3 linked regions of the Diceros bicornis minor genome follow. The protein of the gene in region 3 interacts with the protein of the main gene of each other region in a biochemical or structural test. Links are inferred from orthologs where the notes say so. Each region holds a gene or a part of one and is shown on either strand. Other genes may lie near its edges.

What was found.
Region 1: of the proteins of CREB1 (region 3) and RPS6KA5, one has a biochemical effect on the other in vitro, tested with the Homo sapiens proteins (3 studies listed by BioGRID, with this or other methods). The link is inferred for Diceros bicornis minor from reciprocal best matches to the Homo sapiens genes CREB1 and RPS6KA5.
Region 2: of the proteins of CREB1 (region 3) and ATM, one has a biochemical effect on the other in vitro, tested with the Homo sapiens proteins (2 studies listed by BioGRID). The link is inferred for Diceros bicornis minor from reciprocal best matches to the Homo sapiens genes CREB1 and ATM.

The regions. Positions count from the first base shown.
Region 1 is NC_080763.1:37,089,993-37,100,113, forward strand, and holds the start of RPS6KA5 (ribosomal protein S6 kinase alpha-5), read right to left. Parts: upstream 5,101-10,121; 5' UTR 4,915-5,100; coding exon 4,809-4,914; intron 4,508-4,808; exon of another isoform or gene 4,482-4,507; intron 1-4,481. UniProt on the Homo sapiens protein: Serine/threonine-protein kinase that is required for the mitogen or stress-induced phosphorylation of the transcription factors CREB1 and ATF1 and for the regulation of the transcription factors RELA, STAT3 and ETV1/ER81, and that contributes to gene activation by histone phosphorylation and functions in the regulation of inflammatory genes.
Region 2 is NC_080746.1:27,548,628-27,558,981, forward strand, and holds the start of ATM (serine-protein kinase ATM), read right to left. Parts: upstream 3,966-10,354; 5' UTR 3,784-3,965; intron 3,384-3,783; 5' UTR 3,203-3,383; intron 2,434-3,202; 5' UTR 2,389-2,433; intron 27-2,388; 5' UTR 1-26. Other genes in the region: protein NPAT, read left to right, coding at 4,337-4,373.
Region 3 is NC_080749.1:84,402,909-84,413,583, forward strand, and holds the start of CREB1 (cyclic AMP-responsive element-binding protein 1), read left to right. Parts: upstream 1-5,867; 5' UTR 5,868-5,951; intron 5,952-5,957; exon of another isoform or gene 5,958-6,067; intron 6,068-10,675.

The sequences.
Region 1 (10,121 bases), on a different chromosome or scaffold from region 3:
TGTTAGCTCTGGGCTAATCTTCCTCAAGCAAAAAAAAAAAAAGAGGAAGACTGGCAACAGATGTTAGCTCAGGGCAAATCTTCCTCAGCAAAAAAAAAAACCCCACAATGAGACGCCACTTCATACTCACTAAGATGGCTATAAGCAAAAAGACAGACAATAACAAGTGTTGACAAGGATGTGGAGAAACTGAAGGCCTTGTACACTGCTGGCGGGATGTAACGTGGTACAGCCATTTTGGAAAACTTACAAAGTTAAACATAGACTTACCATGTGACCCAGTAATTTTACTCTTAAGATATACCCAAAAGAAATGAAAACGTAGGTCCACACAAAAATTTCTAGATAAATGTACATAGCAGTATTATTCACAATAGCCAAAAGGTGAAAACAACCCAAATGTCAATCAACTGATAAACGGATAAACAAACTATGGTATATCTATACAACACAGTGGTATCTGTTAATTAAAAAAATGAAGTGCTGATACATGCTACAACATGGATGAATCTCGAAAACACTATGTTCAGTGAAAGAAGCCAGTCATAAAAGACCACATACTGTAAAATTCCATTATATGAAATGCCCCTAGGCAAATGTACAGAGACAGAAAGTAGAATCAGCAGTTGCCTAGGGCTGGGGATGGGTGGTGGGAATGTGAAGTGCCTGATATAAATGGGTAAGATATTTCTTTTTAGGGTGATGGAAATGTTCTAAAATTAGACTGCAGTGACGGTTGTATAACTCTATAAATACACTAAAATTCATTGAATTGTACACTTAAAAAAGTGGATTGTGTGGTACTTAAATTATATCTCAAAAGAAGTTGTTTAATAAAAAAGACATTGCAGCTTTGATTTTGCTCTTTCTCTTCAATCACTTGTTCTGGGGGAGCCAGCTGTCATGTCATGGGGACACTCAAACAGCCATATGGAGAAGTCCACATGGCAAGGAACTGAAGCATCCTGCCAACAACATGTGAGTGAGCAGTCTCAGAAGGGGAGCCTCCAGCCCCAGACAAGTCTTTAGGGGGCTGCAGACCTGGCCAACACCTTGGCTACAACCTCAGGAGAGACCTTGAGTCAGAAACATCAGGTGAAGCAACTCCCTAAGTTCCCAACCCACAGAAATCATGTTGCTTTAAGCCACTAAGTTTTGGGGTAATTTGTTACACAGCAATAGATAACTGATAGCCCTTCGCTGACCCGTTCCTCAGTGTTAAGCTCTCTCCTAATGATGGACATCTAAGGAAATGTCTTCCCAGCAATCTTTCCTCTTCTAAGGGTTTAGTTTCACCCCTATCAATACCTTTACTGTCGTAGCTGTCATGTTAGCGGAACATGATCCAAAGAATCATGAATCACCCGAAAGAGGGCACCTCACGAAAGCCAAGCCAATAATGTTCTTTTCTGAGATTTTTATATCTAAAGCTCAGAAAAAGGCAGTGTTTCTCCAGTACCTGAAGCCGTAAGATGTAAAACTTGGGGTCTGTCAAAACGATGTTCTTTCCCATTTGGAAAGAGCTGGACAGCAGTGGAGAAGAATGAAGCCATCACACAGAGACAAGCAAAGATTCAAGATGGAGAGAGTTCAGACAACATAAGCCTCTGCTTCCAGTGATTCCTGATGAAACCCTGTCCTTCCAGTGGGAAGACCATATCTGTCTTGGAAACCCAGCATCTAAAACAGCACTCATAAGAGGTAATGAAATATTTATGGAATAAATGCACAGATAAGATAACCCAGTATTCTTCCAATAACCCCCTCTTTTTTTGTTGCTATTGCTCAACAGAGAGTTAGATTACTTGAAACCTCAAAGTCCTAACCTCTTCTTTGCTACCTTTATACTCTGAATATCCCTCTATTATTATACTTATGGCAATATATTCTAATGTCTGGTTTACATGGCCTCCCCCCTACTATCAGATGGCAAGACATTTTCTTGCTCATTTTTGGTATCATCAGGACCATCTAGCCTAGAAAACAGAAAGTGTTCAAGAAATGTTATGTTTAACTGATCTTATCAATCCTTTACTCTTCATTGTTTGGCTTTTATAGTCACTGTCATCAATTCATCAACCACCTAACACCTCCAAGGTACTGGGAATACAATAAACTGTTAGACTTGGTCCTGAATTTTCATCCATTCAGTGAAGTCATTCAACAAATATTTGAGTACCTATCATACGCCAGGGGCTAAAAATGGACAAAGGACATGGTGTCTGCCCTCAAGGACCCTACCGTCTAGCACAGACTAGTAAATCAATTGTTACAGTACGGTGTGTTAAATGTTACTGAGGCGCTATGCACAGGCTGCTACGCAGCAGCAGGGATCGTGGGGAGTTTACACTCTACTTCAGAAAGCAAGACATGTACAGAGAGAGGCAACAGCTTGGCAATGCGGCATAGCCTAAGCACCAAATGAGTGATTTGTTTTCCAAGTTACACTGGATTAATTCACACACTTTAAGAAAAGATACTGTTATAAAGTGATTTTTCAGATTTACATTCAACCAACATCTCCTGAGTGCCTAATACGTACGCACCAAGCAACCTGCTTAGCACTTTTCCAACAGGGTCTCATTAAATTCTCACATTTTGTACTTGAGAGAAGTAAGTCTGAAAGAGTGAAGCGGCTTGCCCAACTCTACATAGCTATTGGGTGGCAGAGCTGGGATTTAGAATTAAGTTTTCCAAGCATGCCATGCTACTTGGTCTAAACAACTGGAACAATTTCCATGTCTTTACATGTGACTCTTACTGCCTTTTCATCCATCCGACGGCACAGAATACAGTGTTGGGCACAAATGGGAAATCACCAACTGCTGACTTGATATGACTATACGCTTGTCCACATTTTGAGAAGGGACCACATCAGATCAAATTACTTTGGTGCCTATTATAGCATCATGTGCTAAGAGGAGCACAGTTGGCTGAAGATGAGTGAATCTTGCAAGTTATATTTTAACAGTGTTTTTGACCACTATATCCGGTCAGTTGTTCCAATGTTCAGCAATAAATCAAAATGACTGCTCACTTCCTTTGACAGTTAACAGTACTAATAAATTCAGTATAATCTCACCATCCATCAGAGAAATTTCTAAAGTGCAAACTTGAAGCTGATGATTCACACAGTTAGTAGAGAAGGGAAAATAAAGCAGTATTCATTGTTTTCTATAAAACTAGCATTGTTTGCAAAACCCAGAAACAGAGTAGTTGGTTGACTACTAATAACAAGTAGGTTTGCTCCTTGGTCATTTAGCAAAAAGCTGCTTGGTTGCACCATGGTCAACAGCTGAGAAGCATATGATCTCAAGTAGCTTTTGCTGTACAGCACGATTCTACATATATAAATCAGTGACTTGTTATGTAAGATAAGAAAAAGAAATTCAAAATCTCCACACCAGAAGGCACCTGCCATTGAGCCTGGCACAAATCAGATATTAATACTGAATCAATGTTTATTGAATAAATGACTTAACAGCCCTTTGAAAACATCAGTTGTCTATTAAATTGAGATAGAAAAATCAAACCAGCCAAACCTACACAGGTTATGTTAGGAACTCAAAAAGATTATGCAGTAAGAGCCTCAAGATACATAACAAATTCACAATGATGAAAAAGACAGTGTTCAAAAATGTTGAAATAAGTAAGCATGTAGTTGATATCCCCTTTAAATTACAGTCACCACACTGGCACTCAGTGGAAAGCTAACCATAGTCTCATTAGAAACAACAAAAACTAAAAGACCCAGGGCAGATCTAACTTTACAATCTGTTCAAAACAGTAACAAGGTGTACTCGGCATACATCTGAAACCTGCTGTATAAGCTGTGTCCACACAATAAAAGACTATCCCAATACGCCAAAGAAGCTGAGTCAAAAACCTTAACACACGCTCACGAGAACATTTCATAGTAATAATGAACAACTCATTAAAATGTATTATCCGTTCAAAAATGAAAAAGTATCTCTAATAGGAGACTGCGCTCCACAAATATAAACCCGAACTGTACTGATGAGTCCAAATAAGCATTTTCCAAAATGAAGAACCTGGACCCACACAACGAATAAAGTAATCCAATAAGTATAACGATTGTGACAACTCTAGTGATCTCAAACACCAGAACGTAAACGCTGAAGCCGGCTAGTCAGCCGCTTTTACCTAGAGCTTTACATTTAAAGAGCCGTCTTCTCAAGAGACCTTTGAAAGAAATTCAAGGCCAAGTATAGCATTTCATAATAATTGCAAATAAAAGCACTCAGTCCCCGAAGCCTACGATCCCTCTTTATCTCACTGGAGATCGGACTCATGAAAAGCCCGAGGGACAGCCACCCTGTTATGTCGTACACGACTCAAAGCACCTTAGGGGACAGTTCCACAAACCCCCGCCGGGACCACCTCTAGGGAAGCAGAGGGGTGGAGAAGGGAATCACTCTCCAAAACAAAGCGTCGCTGACCCCACACCGAGGAAGGCGCACCTTTCACCCCTGACAGGATGCAGTGACAGATGTGTCACCTGTGCAGGAAGGGGGCGCGAAGACATCCCCGGAGACGAGTGCCAACACTGCTCCGCGGGCCCCCGCGCCCCCCGCCCGTCGCTCATTCCCGGGCTCCAGGAAACTTTCGGCCGCTCCCCGCCGGCGCGCCCCCACCTGCAGGACCCCCGGCCCCCGCCCGGGCCGCCGGGCCCCGCCCCCCCCGCGCCCACTGCCCGGCCCCGCGCCCCCCGACCCGCGCCGGCACCCGCGTGCCCCCGGGGCGCGCCCCCGCGCCGGGCCCGGCCGGCAGAGGGCGGGGTCGCTCACCCGTCCGCAGCTCGTGCTTGACAGTGAGGAGCTGCTCTCCCCCGGCGCCGCCGTCCCCGCTGGTCCCCGCCGCGCCGCCGCCGCCGCTGCCACCCTCCTCCTCCATCTTCTCCGTTTTCGGATCCCGCGGGGTCCTACGAGGGGACCCGGGAGACAGCGGACGCCCGGCCCCTCACAGCTCCTGCTGCAGCCCCAGGAGCCGGGGTGCGGCGGCTCCACAACTCGGACGCTGAGACGAGTCTCTTTCCCGCTCTGGCCGCACGGCTCGCTCCTCCGCCTCCACCCCCTTCGGCGGGCACCGCTAGTACCGCGCAACCAAACCGCCCCCTGCTCCGCCGCCTCCTCCGTCAAGCCGCTCCGCCCACAGCCAGCAAGGTAGAAGAGCCATTCGAGCCGCCATCGCTTATTGGGCACAGGGCGCGCGCATCTGTCAACGCCGGCTCCCATTGGGCAGTCCGCTCTGACGCTGCGCGAGCTGCCCCGCCCCGCTCCTCGAATTGTTGTTGCTTGGCGCGGAGGCAGGAGAGGGAGGAGCGCGACCGCTGCGGTTGGTGAGACCCGAGATTCTGCCCCGCCCATTTCCCCTAGTGTGCACGCGCAGTCTGGACCTTCCCTTCCCTTCCCTGACCTCCCAGAACGGTCACACCCCTTATTCCCCAGCTTCGATCTGTTAGTAAACAGTATCTAGTAGTCAGGAGGCCCTCCGGGTCTGTGATTGGATACTGCTGAAAGAGGCGGGGAAGGCTGATTGGAACGTTTGGTCCGCCAATCACCGTGGACAGAGGCGGGGCGTGGAGGAAAGCGCTTCTCACTCACGTGTTTGCAGACGTGCCTGAGGGTCTCGGACAGCGATCCACAGGTGTGTGACCAGCTGGAAGACAGGCTGTCTTAAAAAGGTGTTACTCGCCCTAGTGAGCCCTAAGCAAGTTAAGTGGAGTTTGTGCTTAGAGATAGTTCTTAGACATTGCAAAGATTCACAGTCCTAGCACTCGATGAAGACTTCTGCAAAGGATAGGCATTTTCATTTTGTACAAGTCTTATCCTAGGCACCAAAAGGATACAGAGATTAATAAAATAGAATACAATCCTGGTCCCTAAGCTGCTTTCAACAGAACATTAGAAACAATCTGTGTATATACACAGGAAACTATAAAGCAGAATTTGAAATAAAACCGTCGTACAAACTGTTAGAGAATCGCACAGATGGCAATAATTATTCTAAGCAGAGGAGATGGGGAATGCTTTTAGGGCAAGGAGGCATTTGATAAAACCAACTTAAAGGATAGGTAAGATGGAAATAGCAACAGACATTTCCTACAGAGATGGTAACTGTGAGCATAGGCCTGGAAGTAGAGAAGGCAAGGGTGGGTTAAGTGATTGATAAAGCTGGGTGGAACTATGATGTAAGAGATAACAGCTAAAAAAGTAAAGTGCGTTAAGATAATGGAGAACTTTGACTACGCTGCTAAGCAGTGCAGACGAGTGCAGGATGGGAAGCCTCAAAGAATAGTTACAATATCAAAGCTGTTCTCTTGGATGTTAGCTTCGGTTTTAGTGAGAAGGAGGAAGAATACTGTTGCAAGAATGGAATTTGAGGGCCTAATCGGACATGAGAATGGGAAAAGGAGAGGGTTAAAGATGGATGCTTGGACGTAATTCACATAGAAGTAGGCTTTTAAACTAAGCATGGATTAGATCAGAGGTCAGCAAACTTTTTCTGTAAAGGGCCAAATAGTAAATATTTTAGGCTTTGCGGGCCACATGGTCTCTTTCACAACTACTCGACCCCCGCTATGGTAGCAGGAAAGCGGCCATGGACAATAAGTAAACTAATGGATACGGCTGTGTTCCAATAAAACTTTATTTATGGACATTGAAATTAAATTTCACATAATTTTCACATGTCGTGATATATTCTTCTTCTCATTCTTTTTAACCATTTAAAAAAAAAAAAAAAAAAACAACCAAAAGGAGGAGGTTCAGAGAGCTTCCACATTGGGGAACCAGATGCTTCCATGTGCTACCAGACTGGGCCCCAAGCTGCATGGGGACAGAAGCTCCTTTGTCCCGGACCTGGCCCTGTGTGTCTCTTCCTCTGGCTGTTGATTTGTATCCTTTAATGTCCGTTGTAATAAATCAGTAATCTAGTGAGTAAAAAAAAAAAAAAAAAAAAAAATCATTCTTAGCTCTTAAAAAACAGGCGGTGAACCAGATTTGGCCTGCAGGCCGTAGTTTGCAGACTCCTGGATCAGACCGCCACGGAAAAGAAAGCTGAGAAGCCTGGGCAGCCCTTTCAGGTTGCCTCAGCTCCCTGGGCTTACCTGCCTGGAACATCTATCCCAGTAAACCAGGACTTCCTACTTACTTGTCTTTCTCCTCCACAAGGAGAAAGCAAGCATGCTATGGGAGCCGGAGAATGTGTGCAATTGTTCATTTGTTCACTCGACACCTTTTACACCAATTATACACCAAGTGCCATGATAGATGCTAGAGGGACAGTGGGAGCAAAACAAATACAGTCCTCGCTCTCACAGAGCCTACAGTCTAGGAATGGAAATAAATATTAAATAATCACATACAGAAGTGTAAACTTTACAATGTGATCATGCTGTAAAGGAAAATTATAGGATGCTACAATAGAATGTATTGGGGGGCCTAATTTAGGTTGGAGGAACTTGAAAGCCTTTATAAGGAAGTGTTATTTAAGCTGATTCTTTAAAGATAAATAGGTTTTAACGAGGATGTGGCAGAGACTGGCCTGATGCTTACCAATCTCATTTCCTCTTCCTGGACACACAGGAAAACTACATTTTTTTTCTCCTTTGCAGTTAGGCGAGGGTCATGTAACTGTGATCTGGCCAATGGGATGTGGGCAGACATGATGTGTGCCATTTCCAGGCCTGGTCAGAAAACCCCATGCGTACTCACTCACACTCTCTTCTCTTTCCACAACAACTACAAAGGCCACATTTTGAATATGGAGATGCCATAATTTAGAAGAACCCTGAACCCCTGAGTCCCCACTGGAAGAAGAGCTACCCTAACCTGCATCAGACCATGATGTGAGCAATAAATAAATCTTTTTAGGCATCAGCTACTGAGATGTTGGGATTGTTTGCTACCAAAACATAATCTAGCCTACCCTAACTATTTCACAAGTGAATTGTTGCGGGGAGCAAATTCTAGGAAGATGCAGATGCAAAGAAAGACCTGAGGCAGACAAAGAGCCTGTTGTATTTTAAGGATTGAGAGAAAGCCAATGGGGCCATCATACAGTAAGTAAGCAAGAGATGAGGTGAGGGAGGCAGGTAGAGACCCAAGCATGAAGTGTGTAGTACGCCTTATTAATATTTTTGGAGTTTTTCTGTGTGAAGTCAGAAGCAATAGGAGGAATTTAAACAGGGGAATGATACAATTGGGGTAATATTTTCAAAAGGTCACTGTGGTTAGTATTTGGAGACCTGGCTGGAGGGAGTGAGAGGTGATACAGGGAGACCAGTCAGGAGGTTATCACTGTAGTCTGGGCAAAAGATGGTAGTGGGTGCAGTAGATATGGAAACAAATGGAATGCTTCTATTATATATTTTTGACTTCATGAAGGATTAGATTTGGTGGGTGAGGGAAAAAGGTATATGTGAAATGACACCAAAGTTTCTAGCATGAGCAACGGAGTGGATGGAAGAGGATGGTGGTACCATCTAATGAGAGGGGTGAGTTAAAGGAAGAGCACATATCAGAGAGAATATCAAGAGTTTAATTTTGAGACATCTAATGGCAATATTAGGTAGCTATGTGGCTATATGAGTCTGGAGCTCTGCAGAGAGGTGTACGATAGAGATATAAATTTAGGACTCCTTGGCATAGAGATGGTATTTGAGGCCAGAAGTATGAATAAGTTTACCTGGGGAGAGAATGTGCAGAAGGAAGAGAAGAGGAGCCCATGACTGAAGTCTAAGGAATTTCAACATTGAGACGTTGGAATGAGAAGGTGGAGCCAGAGGCGTAGGAGGAAAACCAGGAAGGTTCTGTATCTTGGAAGCCAAAGTGTTTCAAGAAGGAGGGAGTGCTCAGCTGTGTCACATGCCCTGAGAGGTCACACAAGATGAGGTCTGGAAAGAGCCCATGAATTTGCCAACTTGGGTGCCATTGGTGACAATATTCAAAGTGGTTTTGGTAGAGCAAATGACAGGTGAAGGGGTAGAAACAGTGTATGTGGACATATTTTTCAAGGAGTTTGCCTCTGAAGGAAAATAGAGAAGGTGCTAGCTGCCAGGATCTGGAGAGATTTTTTTTTTGTTTTTCACTTTTTATTTTCAAATAGTTTTTAAATCACCGAAGAGTTGCAAAAGACAGTATAGAGTTTCCACATACCCTCTAATCAGATTGCCCTAATGTTAATATGTTACATACCATGGTTCAATCGTCAAAACTGAGAAATTAACATTGGTACAAAATTTTTAAATAAACTACAGACTCTACAGATTTCACCACTTTGCCATAAAAATGGTTTTTATATTTTTAAATGGTTGAAAAGAATTAAAAGAAGAAGAGTATACCGTGACATGTGGAAATTATGTGAAATGTAAATTTCAACGTCCATAAATAAAGTTTTATTGGAACACAGCCATGTCCTTTCTCTGTGCCGGGATCCAATCCAGGATCCTACATTAGGTTTAGTTGTCGTGGCTCTGTAGTCTCCTCCAATCAGTAGCAGTTCCTTAGTCTTTCCTTGCTTCCCATGACCTTAACTCTTTTGAAAAGTACTGGTCAAGTATTTTGTAGAATGCCCTTCAATTTGGGTTTGTCTGATGTTTTCTTATGATTAAATTGAAATTACACATTTTTGGCAAGAGTACCACAGAGATGATGTGCTCTTCATCAATTCATCATACCAGGAGTAGAAGAAGTTTATATTCTTATTGCTTGTGATGTTAACCTTGAACACTTGGTTAAGGTGGTGTTTGCCAGATTTCTCTACTCTTAAATTATTATTTTTCCCATTGTAATTAATAAATATTGGGAAGACGTGTGAGATACTTTTAGACTATGCAAATATCTGGTTTCTTCTTAAGCTTTCTCCCACTAATTTTAGCATCCATTGGTGGATCTGCCTACAGCAGTTATGAGACTGTGATATTCTAACAGTAATTTTCTATTCGATTGTTTTGTGTGTGTGTGTGTGTGTGTGAGGAAGATGAGCCCTGAGCTAACATCTGCCAATCCTCCTCTTTTTGTTGAGGAAGGCTGGCCCTGGGCTAACATCCGTGCTTATCTTCCTCCACTTTATACGGGATGCTGCCACAGCATGGCTTG
Region 2 (10,354 bases), on a different chromosome or scaffold from region 3:
TAGAATTTCAGAAAACACATCATTGCCTGTAAAAAAACATATAGATATAAAATTATTTCAGACTGGTATTAATACATAGTTAGATCTAACTGTACAACTAATCATATTGTGATCAAAGGCACAATGATTTTTCTTAACATTTCCATATTTAAATGATATTTTCCTAGAACATAACAAAACTTCAACACGAAAATGTGTGCTTCATGTGCAGCAGCAGAATAAAAATACGAAACGTATAATTTACTTTATTGTTGAGACTTCTTCTATGAAACATGACATTTAAATTGAAACATAAAAGATGAATAGAGGACCGTCAGACAAAGAATACGGAAAAGAGCACTTAAGGATTTAACACTGACTGGCTGAACTATTTAAAAGCATCCTTTCTTAAATTTAGTGACTTGCCAGTTTGCTGAGGCAAAAGTTTAAATTGCTTATGCTTTGGAATGGATATGTAGGAGGTTATCAGAGCTAGTAAGTCTTGCCTAGCACTCAACTGGCTTTACGGTTCTCATTCAATACATAAAACTAGGAGGAAAATGATATTCCTGTTTTAAAAGGAAATGAAGGAAATTATATGCTATAACGACATCCCTTGCAAATGTCAAAGGTCAACTATATTTTACTATGCCTTAATGCCATCACAGTAGCCCTCCTGCTGTTAGGTTTTCTGACATGATCAAACCCTAATTTAAAAAAAAAATCTTACAAGAAAAGCATTTTGTTTTAGTATTTCTGCACCTTTTTACAAAGAAGCTTCATTTTTATTAGTTTATAAACAAAGAAAAAATGTACATATAAATGTTTATTATACCTACACGAGCACATATCTCAAGAGGAAAAATGGTGGGGAAAGTCCTTTTCCCATCCATCCACACAAATTCTACTCAATCTTTCAAGATCAAGTATGTTTCTCTGCCCTTGTTTAATCTCACAGAATCTTAAAATTGGGAGGAACTGAAAGATCATGTCCAATCTTCCTACAAAAGAAGAAATCCCTCACTCTCAGTGAGAGCAAACTATCTATTTCATTGGCAGATAGCTCTAATTCTCTTGTCCATTTGTATTCATTGGTTGTTCTGACTCCTTTATCCCTATTAAAACCTCCTTTACTCTGCTGTAGATTACAGGTTGTTATGTATTTGATAATTTTTTTCATTTGATTGTATACTTCTGGAGTACATGTACTGTCATTTTTATTTTTCCACTCCTTATGGTTTTATCTAAGACTCTTCCCCCTTCTTGCTTAATCTTAGTTTAAAGCCCTCTTGATTGAGTCAATAAGGAAAATAAAATTGGAATTCTAGCCAATGAAAACACCTTAGCAATATCCAAAGCACCATAAAAGCAGGCATCTTTATTCCTAAATATACTAAAGACGTTATTTGTAATGCGAAAAAATGCATGTTTACTGAGCATGTGATACTTGCAGGAAGAGGCAGCCTTAAACTTTTTTTTTTTTAAGCTGTGGCTTTTCTGAACTTGTTTTTTCCTCCTTCCATTTCTCAAACATTGATTGCTTTCAAGAAAACACAACAGTTCAGTATTATCTATATAAACAGGAGATATTCATTCACTGATACATGCAACAATATTTACTAGGCAACTACTGTGTTTGAGGTACTATGTTAGGGATAGCTAAACATATAATGAACTAAATAGACACAAATCCTAACCTCGTGGAGTCATAACTAGTGAGGGAGAGTGACAATAAGCAAGTATAGTGATAAATCAATGTATAACTCCAAATTGTGATATATGACTCAAAGGAAACAAATATATAATAACAACGGAGAGGACCACTTTTGATAAACTGAGAACACATCTCAGAGGAGGTTACAATAAAGCCAAGATCTGAATGAACTGGTGCCAATTACAGAAAGAGCTAGAGGACCAACATTTTACGGAAGTAGAATAGCATAGCCAGAGGGTCCTAAGATGGAAAAGTGCATGGTATATTGGAGGAACTGAGAGAAGACCAAAGAACTAGAGAGTAGTCAGCTAGAGTAAGTGTCACCAGATAAAGCTGAATTCAATTAATACATGAATCCAGAACTAACTAGGTTCCACTGCCAACATGCAACTGAAACAATACATATTTGCTAAGTAACAGCTTCTGAATTGACAAATTCAATGTTCTTTTTTAGATTTCAACTAAGTCGATCCCTTTGTAGAATCTGACCAGGATGCCTACATCCCATCTTCCTGGATATAATTCTGCCCTTGGCATGCCACTCTTTACTAGTGGTAAGAGTGTGGGCTCTGTAGCCAGATTGTACTGGTTCAAATCCTGGCCCTGCCACTTACAAGCTGTATAACTTTGGGCAAGTTAGTTAATCTTTTTAAACCTCAGTTTTCTCAATGATGAAAAACAACACTAGAATCTACCTCAAAGAGTTATCTATGGATTCATGTACATGTTTAACACAGTGCCTGGAACACAGCAAATGCTCAATAAATGTTAGCAATTATCATTATTCCCTCCCTTTCTGATGGTTTGTTTTTTTTTTTTCTGTGAGGAAGATCAGCCCTGAGCTAACATCCATGCTAATCCTCCTCCATTTTTGCTGAGGAAGACCGGCTCTGAGCTAACACCCATTGCCAATCCTCCTCCTTTTTTCCCCCAAAGCCCCAGTAGATAGTGGTATGTCATAGTTGCACATCCTTCTAGTTGCTGTATGTGGAACGCGGCCTCAGCATGGCCGGAGAAGCAGTGCGACCCTGCGCGCCAGGGGTCCGAACCCGGGGCGCCAGTAGCGGAGCGCGCGCACTTAACTGCTAAGCCACGGGGCGGCCCCCTTTTCTGATGGTTTCATGAGTCTCTTTTGATGGTTTTTCTTCCACCCACACCTGAAAGAACATCCTTGTCTCCTTACTTCTCACTCTATGTTCTCCCAGTGTGATCTCATCCATTCCTATGACTTCAACATGTTGAAAATACCCAAATCTATTTTATTCAATGCCAAACCTCACTCTTGAGCTTCAGGAACCTTCTACACTTTGTGCCTTTACATGCATTTTCCCTTGTCTAGAAGGCTCCTACCATCCTCCAGAGCAATTTAACACTGCGAGGGCCCACTGCGAACTAAATTGATTCTTCCAGGCTCAATTTCCACAGAACCTCATTCACTCCTCTACCATCACAGTACTCTTCCATCACATTATCACCCTGAGTTGTAACAGTCTTTTTACTTATCTGTACCTGGTAAAAACAGCAGCGAACGCTCCTGACTTCTGACCACACGCAAGGCTATCACATCCGTACGGCGAGGTCACATAACAGACAGTCACCTTTCGAACTCCAGCAGTGTGTTTCCAGAGCCCACGCTCTTAACCACGCGACGGTAGTTTAAGCCTCAACAAATGCTCGCTGATTAAAACTACTAATTATGAGAGAGAGAAAAAAGGATGATTAGTCACGTCATCTAGTTAAATCTGGACTCTAAAGTGACAGGGAAAGGGGACGCGCAGGGGGGGTTCAATTCAGGGCATTTAGAAGAAGGTTCATGGCCAAGTCCGCTAAGGGCTCGGAGAGAGGGCGGGAGAAAGCGATGAGGACAGGAGGCCGGCAAAGACGTGGTTTGGAGAGGAGTAAAGGGCCGCTCTGGAGGAGCGCATGAGATTGGGTGACTGGGGACTAGGGCAGAACGGCTCGGATACGATTGAATTCCCCCACGCAGAAGCCACTGCGTGGCTTTCGCGCCCCTATCGCTGGTCTCTGGTGGCCAAATTGTAATCTCTGGGGGCGGCGGTGGCTGCAGCCTAAATCCCCGCCCCACTCACCGTCCCCCGCGGCAACAGCAGCTCGATCCAGGCGTCCACGCACTATTCCCGCTTCCGGTTCAAACCTGGCTTGACCGCGCAGCTTCCGACTCGGGAGCAAGAAGTAAGGCAGACCATGCGGCGCGTCTGCCCATGCGCGCCAAGCATCACGCGCCAGTCCGCTCCAAACACTCGCTGCCCCAAAACATTCGGCTCGTCTAAGGAAACGCGCCTGCGCCTTGCCCACCAATGGCGAGCGACCTTGCGTTTGGGGCTCGCCCTCTGGCTCCTGCTTCTGCGCTTGCGCCCCACCTCCTCGCCCCCTTCAGCCCCACCCCTCCAAATATGAGGACGGAAATGACGTCAGTCCCAAGGCGAACGGAGGCGGGTTTCATTTCGGCGCCTTTCTTTGTCGTGCGGAAGTGATTGGCTGGCGTGGAGCGAAAGAGGCGGGACACTTTGCCGCGGGTTCAGTGCCGCCACTGGAACCGGGAGATGCGGCGCAGGAGCTGTCGCTGTGTTGCCTTTTACCTGAGTCTTGTCTCTTACTGTGGTTCCTTCTGCGGCTTCGATCATGTTGCTACCTTCAGACGTAGCCCGGCTCGTATTGGGTAAGCGCGGACGCGGAAGGGAGGGATATTGGGCCAGGATAAGCAGGACGAAGGGACCTTTGGGGCCAAAGGTTTTCCCTGGGTGGGGAAGCTTCGGGGTTTTGCCTCCCCGCCGACAAGTTCAGACTGGCGGTGATTCTCCTTTAGCAGGGGGCTCGGGCAGTTTGAGCCTCTTTGTGGGGAGGTGGGGGGGATAGTCTCTCCTCGGAGGCTGCGTGGCGAGGGAAGAGAACACCTGAGGCCCGGATTCCGAGGGAAAGTCAGGCCTGCACACTTAATTGGGACCCCTGCAGGAGGGTTGTCTACGTGACGGACGGACTGCGTATTTTTGCACCGTGGGCGCACTTTCCCTTGTCAGAGCTGGGACCAAATTAGGAAAAATAAGGACTTCCGCAGCCACCCAGCTTTGTAGAAAGACCTTCCTGACGCCCTTCTCATAACTCGCCCTTAGAACAACCAATTTGGGACGAAGCGGGGTGCCCTTCCCTCTCCATCCTCCTCCCCCCGCCATTAGTCGTCCAGTGTAGAGGTTTGAAATGCCAGTTGCGTATTTTAAAACAGCAGCCATTCTTATTCTTTTGGTTAGCAAGAAATTTCACTGAGGAAATGCCTTCCATTTGAACGTTTTCTAGTCCTAGTTAGTTTTTCCTACATTTGAGGAGGGTTAGTTCCACGGGCCACTTGTCAGAGTGTATTGTCTGTGTGGGAAACGGGTTTTGTTGTTTGTCCCCTGAAAGAATAGAGAGGATTGTACTGCTGGGAACGAGAGCCACATAAAGCTCAAAACCTGAGCCAGTGGTCTGCAGACATCGTATGCGATGCCCCTGAAAGTAAATGGTAAACATCTGTGAAGAAACTGCCTGTAGTATACACAGCCGTTACTACATTATTTTATCGTTAGAAAAACCTGTTTGTCTTGTTTCTTTTTTAAATATTCAGCCCTGTCCCAAAAAAATGGTGTTTGTGCACGGGCTCTTGATAAGGACCTTTTGCAGGAAATATTAGAGTAATGGTTCCACTACCCATATTTGGAGAAACTAATGACTTAAGTTTAAACTAACATTTTGTTAATGTTTGGTTAATGTTTTGCCCACTTTATCAAAACTGAATATCAACTGTTAACCTACATCTGTATCTGAGAAAAAGCTGGCTATCTTGTAATTTCTATGTTTATTAGGCTTATATTGAAACCAGTTGAAAGTAGACTTTCACAATGTTCATGATAACATTGACATACTTTATTTTTTACTCCATGCATATTGTTTACTTAAGAATTTTTGAGCTTTGGTAGTTTGGTAATCCAGTTGTTTTAATAACCATAGTCTTCAACAAGGTTTCTCACCTTCAGCAGTGTTGACATTTTGGGCCAGGTAATTATTTAATATGGGGAAGCTGTGCTGTGCATTGTGGGATGTTTAGCAGCATCCCTGCCCTATATACGATAGATGCCAGTAGGACCCCACTCCTCGCCGCACCCCTGCCTGGTTGTGACAATGAAAATGTCTCCACATATTGCCAGTATGTTCCGTGGAGGGCAAAATCACCCTCAGTTAACAACACTGGTCTTAAGAAAGAGTATGAGTTTCTAACTGGAATAATTCACACCGACTTGTGAATTTATTCTCCACAAAGCAGCTGCTTCACTTGACTTCCTACTCTTTTTTTGATGGGTGAAAACTCCAGAGTCATTTTTTCTTATCCTAAAGTTCTTCTTTGTCATTCACATTTCATTGGTCATTGTCACCAATCCTAGCAATATACCTCCCATTACTTCTCTTTTGGACTTTTGTCATGGCTTCTCATATAGTCTTGCAATTTATCTTGTTTACTGTTACAAAAAGTTGCCTAAAGCAGTCACATTACACCTCCTATTCTAAAAGTTGAAACAATTGTGCACTTAACCAAAAATTTCAAGTTGTGCAAAAGAATATATAATACAAAAAAAGCAAATCTCATACTCACGTCTTATTTTTTTCAGTTAGCGATATATACCTTGAAGTTCATATCAGTACATAGAGAAACTTAGTGGCTTAAAATATTAATTTTATTATTTGCTCATGATTCTTCTGTCAGTACCCCCTCCCCATCTTCATCCCCTCTCTTGTTGTTGGCGCCTTCTCTTTATAATGTTCTTTCAGAAAATCTTTGGGAGCCTAGTATGTTCCATACACTGTCCCAAATGCTGAGAATAAAGAAGTAAGTTCTCCCCTTAGAGTTCATATAATTAGGTTTTTTGCCCTTTCACACACACACACCCCCCAAAATACTTTCCTAGACCTTACCTCACATTCTGTCTCGTGCTCTATGTCACCCTTTCACAAGTCAAATTTATTCAAATAACAATGAACTCTATTTAGTACTCTTCTTCCTCACCTACCTTTCATTCTTCAACATACTGCACTGACTTTTGCACCTCACTACTCCTCTTAATCAGCCTTTACTGGAATTTCTTTAAATATTGTGCAGGCCAGAATATATCAATGCGTTGTTTATTGCCTCTGGCCATCTGTTTGTTTTTTATCAGTATGTCCCACAAGGTGCTCTGTGGAACTGATCCTACCTGCCTCTCCAGCTCGATCTCAACTTCTCAACATCCGCCTTGTGTTCCAGGCATACCAAACTACTTGCAGTTTCTCCAAATATTCTTAATGCATTCTGTTCCCTCTGCATGCAGTGTTTTTCTCCCTCTCTTAGTACACTTGTATTCAAGGTTCAGACGTAATCTCTGAAACTTTTTCCAGCAGGTACAGTTATTACTTTCTCATTAAATGCTCCTGTAGCATTGTACATTACTTCTGTTATACCCTTACTGTGTTTTATTGTAGCTGTGTGTTTACTTACTTTTTTTTGGTAAAATATACATAAACAAAATTTAACCATTTTAGTCATTTTTTGTGTGTGAGGAAGATTAGCCCTGAGCTAACACCTGTTGCCAATCCTCTTTTTTGCTGAGGAAGATTGGCCCTGGGCTAACATCCATGCTCATCTTCCCCTACTTTATGTGGGACACCTGCCACAGCATGGCTTGATAAGCAGTGCGTAGGTCTGCGCCCAGGATCCGAACCTGTGAACCCCGGGCTGCCAGAAGCGGACTGCGCAAACTTAACCACTGTGCCACCGGTCCAGCCCCCATTTTAGTCATTTTTAAGAGTACAGTTCTATGGCATTAAGTACGTTCACGTTGTTCTGTAGCCATCACGATCAACCACCTCTAGAACTTTTTCATCTTCACAAACTGAAACTTACTCACCTTTGTGTCCTATTCAGTATTCTTAATCTGGGATTAATGGACAGGCTTTGAGAGTTCTGGGAGCCCCCAAAACTATCTATAAAGGTTTATGTGCAAGTGAGTCATTTTTATGGGTCAAAGATCCAGAATTTTCTTTAGATTCCTAAATAGGTTTGTTCCTTTCTGTGTTGATTCAGTGTCCATTCAGAAAAACAAAACAATCTGAGTATTTAACATGGAGGGATTTAATGAGGGAATTAGTTACACTGGTGATAGAAAAGCTAAGAAGACAAGCCGCTTACATGAGACAACTCAGAGGGTAGCAAAGCAAGAAGCCACTGTGATAATTAGGAGGACAGTGCGAGACGAAGCAACCCAGAGGCCGGGCTCACTGTGTGGAAGATAGAAGGTAGAGTTGTCTGGTGAAGGAGCAGTAGTTGTAGAAGAGATTCTACCAAGGCAGAGAAGGAATGGGAGGGAAAAACGTGGCTTCTTCCAGCTGCCCTCCAGTCTCCCACCGGTGCTTCCCATTGATTGAACTCAGCCAGAAGCCAGCTGACGTGAAACATTGCTTGCTTGGGGTCAGGTTTCCTGTCATACAGTGCAGAGCAGGGGAAAGAGGAAGAATAGATTTGAAGACGAACAGAACCAGGACTGGCACACCCTGAAAGATTAAGAGCACCTAGTCCTATTCACCTTTATATCACTAAGACATTATAGATATTTGTTAAATATTTACCAAAGTGCAACTGTGATCATGACATTCCCCTTTGTCTACTGAATAATATCTATCATTTATTCAGATTCTGTTATTCTGTTTTCTGTTATTCAGATTCTATTTATTCTTATTCTGTTTATTCATAAAAATATAATGCTGTTGCTGACATTTACTACTTTTTATGGTCCTTCCCTGTTCTGTCTTTTCAGTTCTATCTCCAGCTGTTCTCATCCAAACTGGGCATGTTCCCCAAACATGCTCTCCCTGTATGCTTTCCATCAGCTTCATTGGAATTCCCCAATCATCCTTCAAGACTCACCTCTTCCTTGAAACATGCATAATTTTCCCCAAGTCTGGTAATACTTTCTCTAGCCCCTATCCTCACATGAAGTAAGTTCTATTGTACCACCTTTGCTTTGTATTATAGTTATTTGCATATATATCTTCTGGGTCCTAGTAGATCATAACTTCTTTATAGACAGCGACTTTGTCTTTGTTATTTGTGGATCTAGTAATGTAAGGCACCATAAATTGTCTTCCCAAGAATTATTTAACATTTTTTTAAGGTCATTAAACCACTGATATTTCTGGGAAATTATTAAAATATGTGAAGGAGATATTTTCAGGTAGGGGGATTTGCTGTCTCTTGCTCTTTTCATCAGGCACCTCTCTCTTTATCTTTCCTTCTCTATAAATAGGAAGAAGAGAAAGCAGACTCTGGGCATCCCAATTTCTACAATTTGAATACCTTAGATATAGGATTTTATCTTTCCTTCTCTTTTTCGTTTTATGTTTCCCCTTCGGTCTATTTGTTTCTCATTACTACCTCCACTGAAAAGCAGGCAGAAGACAGTATTAAGAAAAAGGGAAACTTATTTCTTACCTATTGGAACATCCTTGTCAGTAAGTTTACACAAAATATATAGTTATTTTACTCTAAAGTGGTTTTTAGGAGTAAAAAGGAGAAACAATAACTAACGTTGATTGAAGAGTAATTATTTGTATTATTATTATGATAACAGATAATTGGTCCCTAGTTTGTATTTTCATTGTGACATTTTAGATTTAGAATAATTTGTATCTACAATTTGACCTATTCTGAATGAGAATTGGTTACAATCAGATACTTGATAAATAAGCTTTTTGTAGGCAAATAACTGGCTAACTATATATGTAATAATGAATATGGAAGTCATCAACTGTTACTTTATTGCATTATTTTGGAACTTCTAGGATGAAAGTAAAGCAAAATACATCAAGTCTAATCTAAAATGGGAACTGTAGATTGCCCAAAGTTGGGCATGTTTTTTTAAAAGCAGAAGATATATATCTCAGATATTGCTATTTTAAGGTCCATTATAACTTTTACACACTTGTTATAGAAGTAATCTAGCTTTTTAACAAGGCTTTCTGAAGTGTATACTGTGCAAAAGTATAAGGTCTTATGAGAAGCCATAAACGATCTGATCTGTGATTCTATTCCCCGGGGTATGCTAGCACAGATGACCATATTTTTCTGAGTAAAGTTAACTATATCACTGCATTCTGTTTAGGGCAGTGTTTCTCAGCCTTTATTTCATTATCACACCCTTAAGGAGTATTTCTAGACTTTTTCCTTATTGCCCCCCCCACATGAAAGTTTAATGTCACAAATATACTGTTTATATATTGTATCTATATCTGTGATTTTTGCATAAAAACAGTGATATTTTCTTCATTCCCCTCCCACCTCAGTACCAATTTTCACCCCGTTGGTGGCTATGTCTTTCTTTTTGAGAATGCTTGGTCTAGAGAAAAGCAAATCTGCTTTAAGGAATTAGATTTCATACCACCACCTGTTAGAAGTCCCAAGTGGTTATGAGTACATATGGGATAATTAGTACTTTTGAGACTCTCCACCATGAGAAGAGACGGTTTATTTGGGGTCTTCAGCTTAAATCTTTTTTTTTTTTTATAATTTTATTTATTTATTTATTTTCCCCCCAAAGCCCCAGTAGATAGTTGTATGTCATGGCTGCACATCCTTCTAGTTGC
Region 3 (10,675 bases):
AGACCAGGAATAGTTGTAACAGATCAGTGCTTTCTCTTCTCTGCTGGAAAACTATTTGGAAAGCACAATTAAAATCACAAGATTACTTCATGAGCATTGAGAACAGCTCCACCTTGCACTGATTCCAACTATGAAGAGTCTCAAGCACCCCACTATACGCAGGGGAAGAAACACTAAGTAGATCAGATGCTTGAATCAGCTGGGCAGGGTACCTCTCCCTTGACCAGTACTGGAGAAACCCTAACTATTCACTCATTCTTTCATTCAAGAAACATTATGGAACACCTATTATATGCTAGTTACCAGGGACGCAAGTTCGATAAAAAAAAACTTTGCCTTTAGGAAGCTCATGGTTCAATAAAGGATGCAGACAAGCAAATGAACAGTTACAATGTAATAAGTGTTAAAAGAGACCATGTATAAATAAGGGACAAAAAATGAATTAAATAGTTAACTAGAAGTGGAGACATTTGGGTCATTTACTTTTTTTTTTTTTTTTTTGCTCTTATAAATAGAGAGATGTTAAGGATTTCAACTGCTTCCTGATCTAGAATATTTACTTATGGATATCTATTACATTAAGGTTATAGGAAATCTTACCAAACAAGAAGGAAATCTATTATATACCTCCTCATTTTAATTGCAAAAGCAACCAAGAAAATAAATCCGAACAGTATGAACTACCTAAGACTGAAGACAGGCAAGTTGGAAATTCATTCAACAAATATATATTGAGCACCTATCATATGTCAGGGCCTGGTTTCAAGTGTTTGAGATACATCAGTGAACAAAACAAAGACTGCTTTTTAAAACTTGTAGTTTAGCAGGAGAGCCAGTCAACAATAAACATAAAAAGTAGTAAAATAGATGGAATGTTTGAAGGTAATAAGCACATAGAAAAAAATATTAACAGGGTAAGGGGATTCCAGAAAAGTGGGATGTGTATGGGGGTGGTGGAGGTGGGTGTCAAGTTGCAATTTTAAATAGTATGGTCAAGGCCTCAGTGAGAAAGTGACATTTCAGCAAAGACTTGAAGGTGAGTGAGTTAGCTCTCTTGATATTTAGGAAAGGAGTATTTTAAGCACTGAAACAGCCCCAAGGTGCTAAGGCAGAAGTGTGGCTGGTGTGTGCCTGGGGAAGAAGTAGGGAGACATCTTAAGAAGCAATTGCAGTAATCCAGGTGAGAGACAAAGGTACTGTGGACCTGGCTCACTTGCAGTGGAAGTGGTAAGTAGTCAGTTTGTGGATATATTCTGAAGGCACAGTCAATAAAATTTCCTAAAGGAATAGATGTGGGGTGTGAGAGAAAGGAAGGCATTAAGAATCATGCCAAGATTTTACCCTCAACAATTAAGACGGAAAAAGCTGCAGGTGCAGATGTGAGGAATATCGGTTCAGACTTGGACAGAGTGAGTTTGAGAGCATTGGGGCATCTCAGATCCTCTTGGCCCCTTGCCTGTGGGGCCTTTGGCCACTTATTCTGTTCCTATTGCCATGGGCAACCAATCTCAGGCAGTAACCATGCAACAATACTTTGCCTCATGCTCAGGCCACACATCTCACATGAGGGTCTGTTTGGTGCCCACACAAAAGGGAAGTATGTGCTGGGGAGGAGGGCAGTGTTAACATCCCACTGACTGAACCTTGACCTCCTCTCCTGACTCACTTCTTTTGCCTATCCTCATTTCCCTGGGATTGTACTCCCTAATAAGATAACAGCACAAAAGCTTTTGCCTCAGATTCTAGGAACCAGAACAACATCCAAGAGGAGGTGTGAGTAGGTAGTTGTTTAAATGAGTCTGGAGTTTGGGAGACCGTTTTGGGGAGAAGATATAATTTTGAGAGTTGTCAGCATAACCATTACATTTACAATCATAAGACTGGATGAGAGCACAAAGGAGTGAACAAAAATGTCAAAAAGAGAAGAGGATGAAGATTTTAGTACCTTTGAGAGCAGAAACAATGTTTTACTCCCTGCTATATCCCCAGTTTCTAAAAGAGTACATGACACAAAGTAGGTGCTTGACAGATAATTTTAGAATAAATGAAATAGGTCACCATGGCCTTGGGGTTAGGGAGGAAAGCAAATTAAGTCATGAGAGGTGATGAACTAGAACAGGCAGGGTTCATGGAACTTCAGTTCGTAGTGAGGTAAAAATTAGGTTCAACAGCGGAAGCAAGAGAGAAAAATAACAGGAAAAGGAAGGTGTGGTTAGAGAAAAGCTCTCAGATACCACTTTCTCCTTGAAGCCTTTTCTAATCATCTCATGAGATCTTCCCCCTTTTCTGGACCTCTCTCAAGGCACTTACCTATCTATCTTATCTTATGCCAAGTTATAGCCAAGTGCTCTTCTGTACTCTCATCTCCCCAATATTGACCACATTTTCCAACTGAAAAATTGAGTCATAGATGGAGGTAGCTTCCAAGTCCCAGAGACAAAAAATGGATACTGAAAGTTTGACATTTCTAGTTCATTTCTATGGTTTATGGAGATACTAGAGCAGGATACATGAAATTGCGAGACTAGATTTCAAATCCAAAGTATATCTAAAATGGTTAGTAAAATAACTTGCACTTAAAGAATGGATGATTGAATGAATGAACAAAGTTAGGTGAGAACGAGGCAAGGAGAGCAGAAGTCAAGGAGAACACATAATTTAATAACTGAAGCCCACTGGTCTGAGAGTAGGGCACGAGTGAATAGGGGAAGTGGGCCTGCAGTCAGAAAGCACCCACGAAGTTAGCAAAGTAACTAAGACATGAAGAGACAGAGCCTACATGAAGGTCAGTGTGAACAGGAGAATATGAGGAAATTTTAAAATAAAAAATTACTGTATTTGGTGGGTCGTAAATATAGGCTATGGGTAAATAATTCCAAAATTTGGGTATCATGTATAGGGGCAGGGTAAGAAGAGCAAAGACGATAAACTCAATTCTGAAAATGTATTTGACACAAGGGTGAGATATGCAAGCAAAAGCTAGTAAGAGGCACCACTTTAGTTAACACTCAGTACATGCCAAACACTGTTCCAAGCACACTTGCCAGGAATGATCTCATCTAATTACCACAATAACACTATGATGCAGGTGCTATTACTGTCTTTATTTTACAGATAGGAACCCTGAGGCACAAGAGTGAATAATTTGCCCAAAGTCACATAGCTAGAAAGTGGCTGAGCCAGGATTTGAACCCAAAAATACTAAGAAACTTTGCCCGGAACCACACAGATATTCCTTATTAATTCAATAAATATTTAACAAACACCACTACATTCTAAACATTGTGCTAGGGAGGGGAGGGGAGGTGAAAGCTGGTGGTGAACAAGACAGACGTGGTTCCTACCTGCACGGACCTCACAAGGACGGTAAACGAATAATTACAAGTGTGATGAATCAGAAAGGAAAGTGGTAAGTTACAATTAGGTAGGAAAGTGGGTGACAGAAAAGAATTCCAGGGGAAGGGAATAGCATGTGTAAATACCTTGAGGTGAGAGCCTACGATAGAGAAAAAAAGAGAGAAAAGAGCCTGGAAAAAATAAAAAGACGAATATGGCTGGAGTGCAGACAGCTAGGGGGACAGCTGGGGAGGCTGGGGAGAATGACAAGCCCAGACGGTGGAGGGCCTGGTCTCCAAGATAAGGAGCTTAGACTGTGTCCAGCAAGCCAAGGGAAGCCACTGAAGGAGTTCAAGCAGGGTAGTGACTTGATCGGATTTGTATTTTTAAAAAATTACTCTGGCTGCAGTACACAACTGGACTGGAATGAGCCACGAGCAGTTCTGTAGAACCTGCATGGCAGTTACCGTAGGACTTCACCAAGACATGAAGGTGGCTTCGAAGACAGCGTGATGAAAAAGTGGCCAAAAGATGGGAGAGAGGCCACAAACGCATCGTTTTTTAGGGCCAACAGGTCTCGGTGTTTCTGAGGTGCGTTTGCGGTGCCTCAGGCTTCTGGCTTGACCCGAGCAGATGGAGAGGACGCCCTTTCCCGTCACGGGCCACGGGAGGGGGCTTCTGGAGGGAACAGGACGCCCCAGTCATCCAAATGCGAGCGCAGCCAAGGCGGTTAGAACTCGAGTCCAGAGTTCAAGAGCAAGACGCAGGCCTGAGTTATGGGCGGACGGTCTCGGCAGGGGGTCTCCGGAGCCACCAGAGAGGACAAGCCCACCCAGGAGAGCGTACCTCGTGGGACTCAAGCAGAGGCTGGCTCGGCTCGGCAGGATTCCACACTTAAGAACTGAGGGGGGGCGGTGAGGAGGGAGGAGGGGAGCGGTGACAGGGGCGCCGTGAGGAGAGGGGGCAGTGAGGGGCGGGGGTGGCGCGGTGAGGAGGGAGGTGAGCTGTGACGGGGGCGCCATGGGGGGCGGCGGTGAGGGGAAGGGGGCGGGGTGAGGAGGGAGGTGAGCGGTGACCCGGGCACCGTGGGGGGCGAGGAGAGGGGAAGGGGGCGGGGTGAGGAGGGAGGTGAGCGGTGACCGGGGCGCCGTGTGGGGGGGGGGCCGGTGAGGGGAAGGAGGCGGGGTGAGGGGAAGGGGGCGGGGTGAGGAGGGAGGTGAGCTGTGACGGGGGCGCCCTTGGGGGGGGCGGGGTGAGGGAGGTGAGTGGTGACCGGGGCGCCGTGGAGGGGGGGCGGAGAGGGGAAGGGGGCGGGGTGAGGGGAAGGGGGCGGGGTGAGGGGAAGGGGGCGGGGTGAGGAGGGAGGTGAGTGGTGACCGGGGCGCCGTGTGGGGGGGGGCGGTGAGGGGAAGGAGGCGGGGTGAGGGGAAGGGGGCGGGGTGAGGAGGGAGGTGAGTGGTGACCCGGGCGCCGTGGGGGGGCGGCGGTGAGGGGGAAGGGGGCGGGGTCAGGAGGGAGGTGAGCTGTGACGGGGGCGCCCTTGGGGGGGCGGTGAGGGGAAGGGGGCGGGGTGAGGAGGGTGGTGAGTGGTGACCCGGGCGCCGTGGGGGGCGGCGGTGAGGGGAAGGAGGCGGGGTTAGGAGGGAGGTGAGTGGTGACCCGGGCGCCGTGTGTGGGGGGGGCGGTGAGGGGAAGGGGGCGGGGTGAGGAGGGAGGTGAGTGGTGACCGGGGCGCCGTGTGTGGGGGGGGCGGTGAGGGGAAGGGGGCGGGGTGAGGGTGGTGAGTGGTGACCGGGGCGCCGTGGGGGGGGGGGCGGAGAGGGGAAGGGGGCGGGGTGAGGAGGGAGGTGAGTGGTGACCGGGGCGCCGTGTGTGTGGGGGGGGCGGTGAGGGGAAGGGGGCGGGGTGAGGGTGGTGAGTGGTGACCCGGGCGCCGTGGGGGGCGAGGAGAGGGGGGCGCGGTGAGGGGAGGAGAGCGGTGAGGGGAGAGGGGCGCGGGGAGGGGGGCCGGTGAGGAGAAGGGAGGACGCGGTGAGGGGGCGCCGTGAAGAGAGCAGAGGGGACCACCGCCGCGGGACCTGCGTGGGGAGAGCGCGGGCGACGCCTGAGGGGGCCGGCCGCCGGGATCCCCGCAGGTGCTCGGGGCGGGCGGCCCACGGAGGGGACCCTCCCACCCGGCCGCGCCCGCCGCCCTCCCGCCAGCCTGCGCCCCCGCGCCCCCGCAGCCGCTCACCGCCGCGGGGGCTTTCCGTCCAGCCGCCGGCGCCCCCGGGAATTCCCCGCGGGCGGCGCGCGCCCCACTCCCTCCGTCACACTTCCGCCGGCGGGCAGCGCCCTCCGAGCGCCGCCGCGGCGCTCAGAGACCGCGCCTCCCCTCCCCGCCTCCCTCCCGCCGCGCCCGAGGGCGCCCGAAGACGCCCGAAGGCCTTCGGAAGCCCCGCCTCCGGCGCGCGGGGCGGGGCCGCCCGAGCTTCTCCGGGCGCGCTCGGCTGTTTCCGGGCGCGGCCGCTGCGCACTCGGCACTGGGCGGCGCTGGCTGCTCCCTGGCTGCGGCTCCTCAGTCGGCGGCGGCGGCGGCTGCCTGTGGCCCGGCGGCTGGGAGAAGCCGAGTGCTGGTGAGTGACGCGGCGGAGGTGTAGTTTGACGCGGTGTGTTACGTGGGGGAGAGAATAAAACTCCAGCGAGATCCGGGCGGCGAACGAAAGCAGTGACGGAGGCGCTCGTACCGCCGGTAAGAGGAGCAGGAGGCGGAGGCAGGCGCCGGCCGCCGGGCCCGCGCCGCCCGCTCGGCCTCGCTCGCAGGAGCCGCCGCAAAGATGGAGCGCGGGCGGCCGCGCCGCCGCCGAACAAAGAGTAATGGCGGCCGGGCAGCGGCGGCCGGGCACGGCGGCGGCTCTGCCCGCAGCCAGCGGCGGCGCTCGGCGGGGGGCGGGCGGGCGCGGGCCTGCTTCCCGCGGCGCGGAGCGGAGCCCCGAGCCCCGAGCCCCGCGCCGCCTGCCCGGCCGCCGCGGAGCGCGGACCCTTTGTGCGCGGCCCGGCCCGCCCGCCGCCCCGGGACGGCCGGCGCCCCGTCCCAGCCGGTGGTCGCGGGCTCGCCCTCGGGAGGAGGCCGAGGAGGCTCGTCCGCGCAGCGTTAGGAGACTGTCGGAGCTCGTAAAGGGAAGCTGCGCCTGCGGACGGTTTCGCTTTAGCCCTGTCGGCGAGGCGGTGGCCGCCGCGTCCCGTCCGAGGCGGCGCGGGAGCGCTGTCGCCCGGCGCCGCCGCCGCCGCGCCGGCGGGTCCGCCTCGGCCCCGCGCCGGGCCGTGCCCGCGGCCCCCGCTCCGGGCGCACACCGCCAGCGCTGGCTCCGGAGACGGCCGTTTGAGGTCGTCCCTGTGGGTCACACGCGGTAGGTAGCCCCGGCCCGAGACCGACAGCAGTCTGACCCGCAAGGCGCGTTTTCTCTGCCTGTTGGGAGCAAGGCACATCGGAAACTCAGTGACACGTGCAAGATGAAAAGACAGTTTTCAAAGGACCTGGGATATGACCCAGTAAAGTTTGTCTTCCCTTCTCCAGAAGTTAGAATTTCATCTGCCTGAGCTCGCGGCAGTTCTGTCCTCTGAAGCTTTAGCATAAAAGATACTTTTGGTTGCCAGCTATTGGAATCTTTTACACTCACTGCACGCTTCGTGATTGGAAAGTGAAAGCAAAACGGTTATTTTAGGTGATGCGAAAGGTAAACAGGTTACTTGTTTTAAACATACTAACGTATCACAGTATGATAAAATTGTGATTGATACATAACAAAGTTTCTTGTTAGGAATAAATATTGGTTGGTAACAGATGCACTGTTTTCTGTTTTCTCTGTATCCAAATCACTTTTGCATAATCTACTTCACTGTATTGCAAGTCTTTAAAAAGCCAAATTAGCAATTTGTCATTGCTGAGAAACTTAATTAAGATGTAATAAAGAGAATGTTTCCATAAGGATTGGGAAGATGGGTTTATTTCCAAACACTGAGGAAATTATAGTATTGACGATGCTCTGTTGACTTTTTTTCCTTAAGAAAGATTCTGTGCAAGCCAGCATCAGTTGACTAGAATGTTTTTTCCCCTTAGAGAGAATATATGGCAATGACGCTTCCTTTGTGAAATTAAAAAAAAAAAATTCTGATGGGTTCTTTCTTCAGTTTTGTCCAAAAGATCTTTTAAATTTTATCTTATTTATAAATTCATAATCTGTAATTCTTAGCAATTCCAGGTGAACCTTTTCAAACTTTTAAATTAATTAACATTTGAATATTCACTTGGTGCATGGTACTAAATTATACTTCTGCCCCTTCCCAGGGATCAGTAAAAATTACAGTTAAATCTGCTTGAACCTTTTTTTTCTTTTTATGGACACATGTATTCACAAAGCAAATGAATCTTTGACACAAATTGACCAAAAAATGTTAAAAGGTCACTTCTTGTGGAATTTAAAACTCTAGTGGTACCCATTTTGAATTTTTTTGTTTTTTTCACATACGAGGCTAAGGAACCTTAGAAACCTGATCCGTAAAATGGTACCTCCCTTTTTCTGTTTTCTGAAATTCGTTTTCTTGGTTAGATCTGATTAATAGAAATTCATTTCTTCATAGAGAAGCAGCTGTATTTTGCCTCTCATTGTAAGAGGTAGCATTTTGTTTTGTGGGGTATAATGTGGTTATAGTAAAACCAAGTACGTATCCCCCGCTTCGCCTCATTTAAAAAATCTTTTTTCTTTTTTTCCACAGTAGAAAAAAACTATTTACTTGTAACTTAATGCTTACAATGTATCACTGAAATTTATAATTTCATTTATTCCATAAATGTCTCATCTGATATGGTTATATAAACTTGTTTATAGCCAGCCTGTGACATAGATAGTCTTGTAAGCATCTTGATATAGTGTCACTTCCAGTGATGGCTTCTTTATTGAATAGTGAGAGCTGAAATCTGAATTTAAGGATCTAGTAGATAGTCAGAGAATGGAAAAAATGCAGAACTTTTTTTTTTCTTACTCATGTGTGAGCTCATCTCTACTGCAGTATCACTTGAGACAACAGTTTGTGGTAATTCAGGTATTGAGTTAGCGCTTACTGTGACGGAATGTAGTTAGTGGAAAGAGCATTGGGTTTGGAATCACAGACCTGGGTTTGAATCCTACTGTTGCCATTACTGTCATATGCCTGCCCTCAAGGAATTTTGTTACCTACGGGAAATTTCTTAATCTTTCTCAGCCTTAGTTTCCTTATATGTTAAATTAGAATAATTTTAAACCACCTACTTTATAGGATTGTGACATAATTATAAAGCAGCTCCTTAGGGACTCAATGATAGCTGTTCATTTTTAAGCTTTATTTTAACTTCCTAGCCATGGAGCCTTGGGCAAGTTTCTTCATACCTCACTTTCCTTGGTCATAAATGTACAATAACTACCTCATAGAAATGTGGGGATTAAATAAGTTAATACATATTTAATGCCAGGCATTTCATAAGTGCTCAACAAATGTTTCTTATTATTTTTTAAATTGTTCATCATCATTATTATTACCAAGTTTAAAAGACTAGGCAGAAGCTGCAGCGAATCCCAAGATGAATTACCCTGTCTTATCTGTACCTTCCAGGAACTTTTAGGGACACAGTGACTAATAAGGCAGAACATGTGTCATAAGAAAGCAATCAAAGGAAAAAGAGATCACACCTGGTGAAGTAATGGAAGAATATTTCCAATTTTATTTCTTAATTAATTTGTTCACATAGTCCATAATTCAAAACATATAAAATATAGCAAAAAGTCGTGTGTACCCCCACCCCCAGTCACTCGTGTTACAATTTCTTATTTGTCCTTTCAGAGGTATCTATCCATACACAAGCAAATATGTATGTACTCTCCTCCCCACTTTTTATACAAATGCTAGTATACCATATATACTGTCTTATGTTTTGCTTTTTTTCCACTTAATATGGCTGAGCAGTTGATTTGCATCAGTACATAAAGAGCTTCTTCTTTTTTTTTAGTTATGAGGCATTTCATCATATGGGTATACCTGTATTTATTAACCAGTTAGTGAGCAGATTTTATATTTAGGTCTTATATGACCTTTTAAACTAAGGGGAGCTGTCATTATGTCTTTATTTCTTTTGGTGAAAGACATTTCATTTGAATGAGGTATACCAGTTTGTGACAGGAAGTTGTTATTTGAACTGTGTCATTACCTTTTCAGCTCCAGTTTTTAAAAGTTTTTTGTAACTTGATCGAAATGTTCATGAAGAGGCAAGTAAGCTATGTAAGTGTTAATTCTTAAAGTGAATTTAACTCTCTTGTTGAGGTTCTAATAACCCTGAACAGACTACTTCCTTCTATTCTTATCTCAGCCAAAATAGTCTCTATGGTTCTTTCTCTCTAAATGAGAAAGAACACCACATGGAGTCCAGTCCTTTTTTTTTTAAGCAGACTATTCTCATATGATATTATCATCCAGTAATGCTGATTAGTGTACTTAGCTTTCTCCCTTCGTTTAATTATTTTTTACATACTCATCACCTTTTTCTTTGATGATTTTCTAATATTTCTTAGTGTAATTATCAATGTTTTATTTTTAATAACTGAATAGTGAGTTTCACCAATACAGTTGTCTACTGAGACTTTACTGCTTAGATGACTCTTCTTTTCTTTTTTATTTTTCATTGTGGAAGTCCTTGGTCAGCCAGTTGGACCAAGTAATATTCATTTCGACTAGAATGCAAAACAAGTTTCAGTACCTCTCCTTTTTTTTCTTTTTTGGCTCTTCTAAGCACCATTTAACTATAGTGCATTTTAAATATACCTGCTGTTAATGTATTTATCTTTAAAATACACATGCTGTTAGTTTTTTAAGTTGATTAAACTTAGAAGGAAAATGATAACTAATAGTCCAGCTGCAGGGACACAAATAAGTCCCTTATCTTTCAGAAAACAAATCACTAAATGAAGCTGCTCTGGTACATCTCATTCTTTGTATACTCAAGTTGACAGTTATGTATGCTAAGGTTTTTAATGTAAGAATATTGTCTTATTTTGATGATTTACTAGTATTTTATATAAAATATTAATATGTGCTATTTTTACCTGCTCAATGACTAAAATGTATACAAAACACTTATCTTTACAGATTTAGGGGGTGGAGGTAGATAACTGAAATCTGAAAAGGCTGAAAATTTTCCTTCTGGAATATATCTGTGGGCTACCAGGGAATTAAGTGATTTCTCACAGTATCATGAAATCAGTAAATTGTCTTTTGGCGTGGAGGTGAAAAGATCATGAGCTAAAGCAGCAAACCGACGCTGTGAAAATCG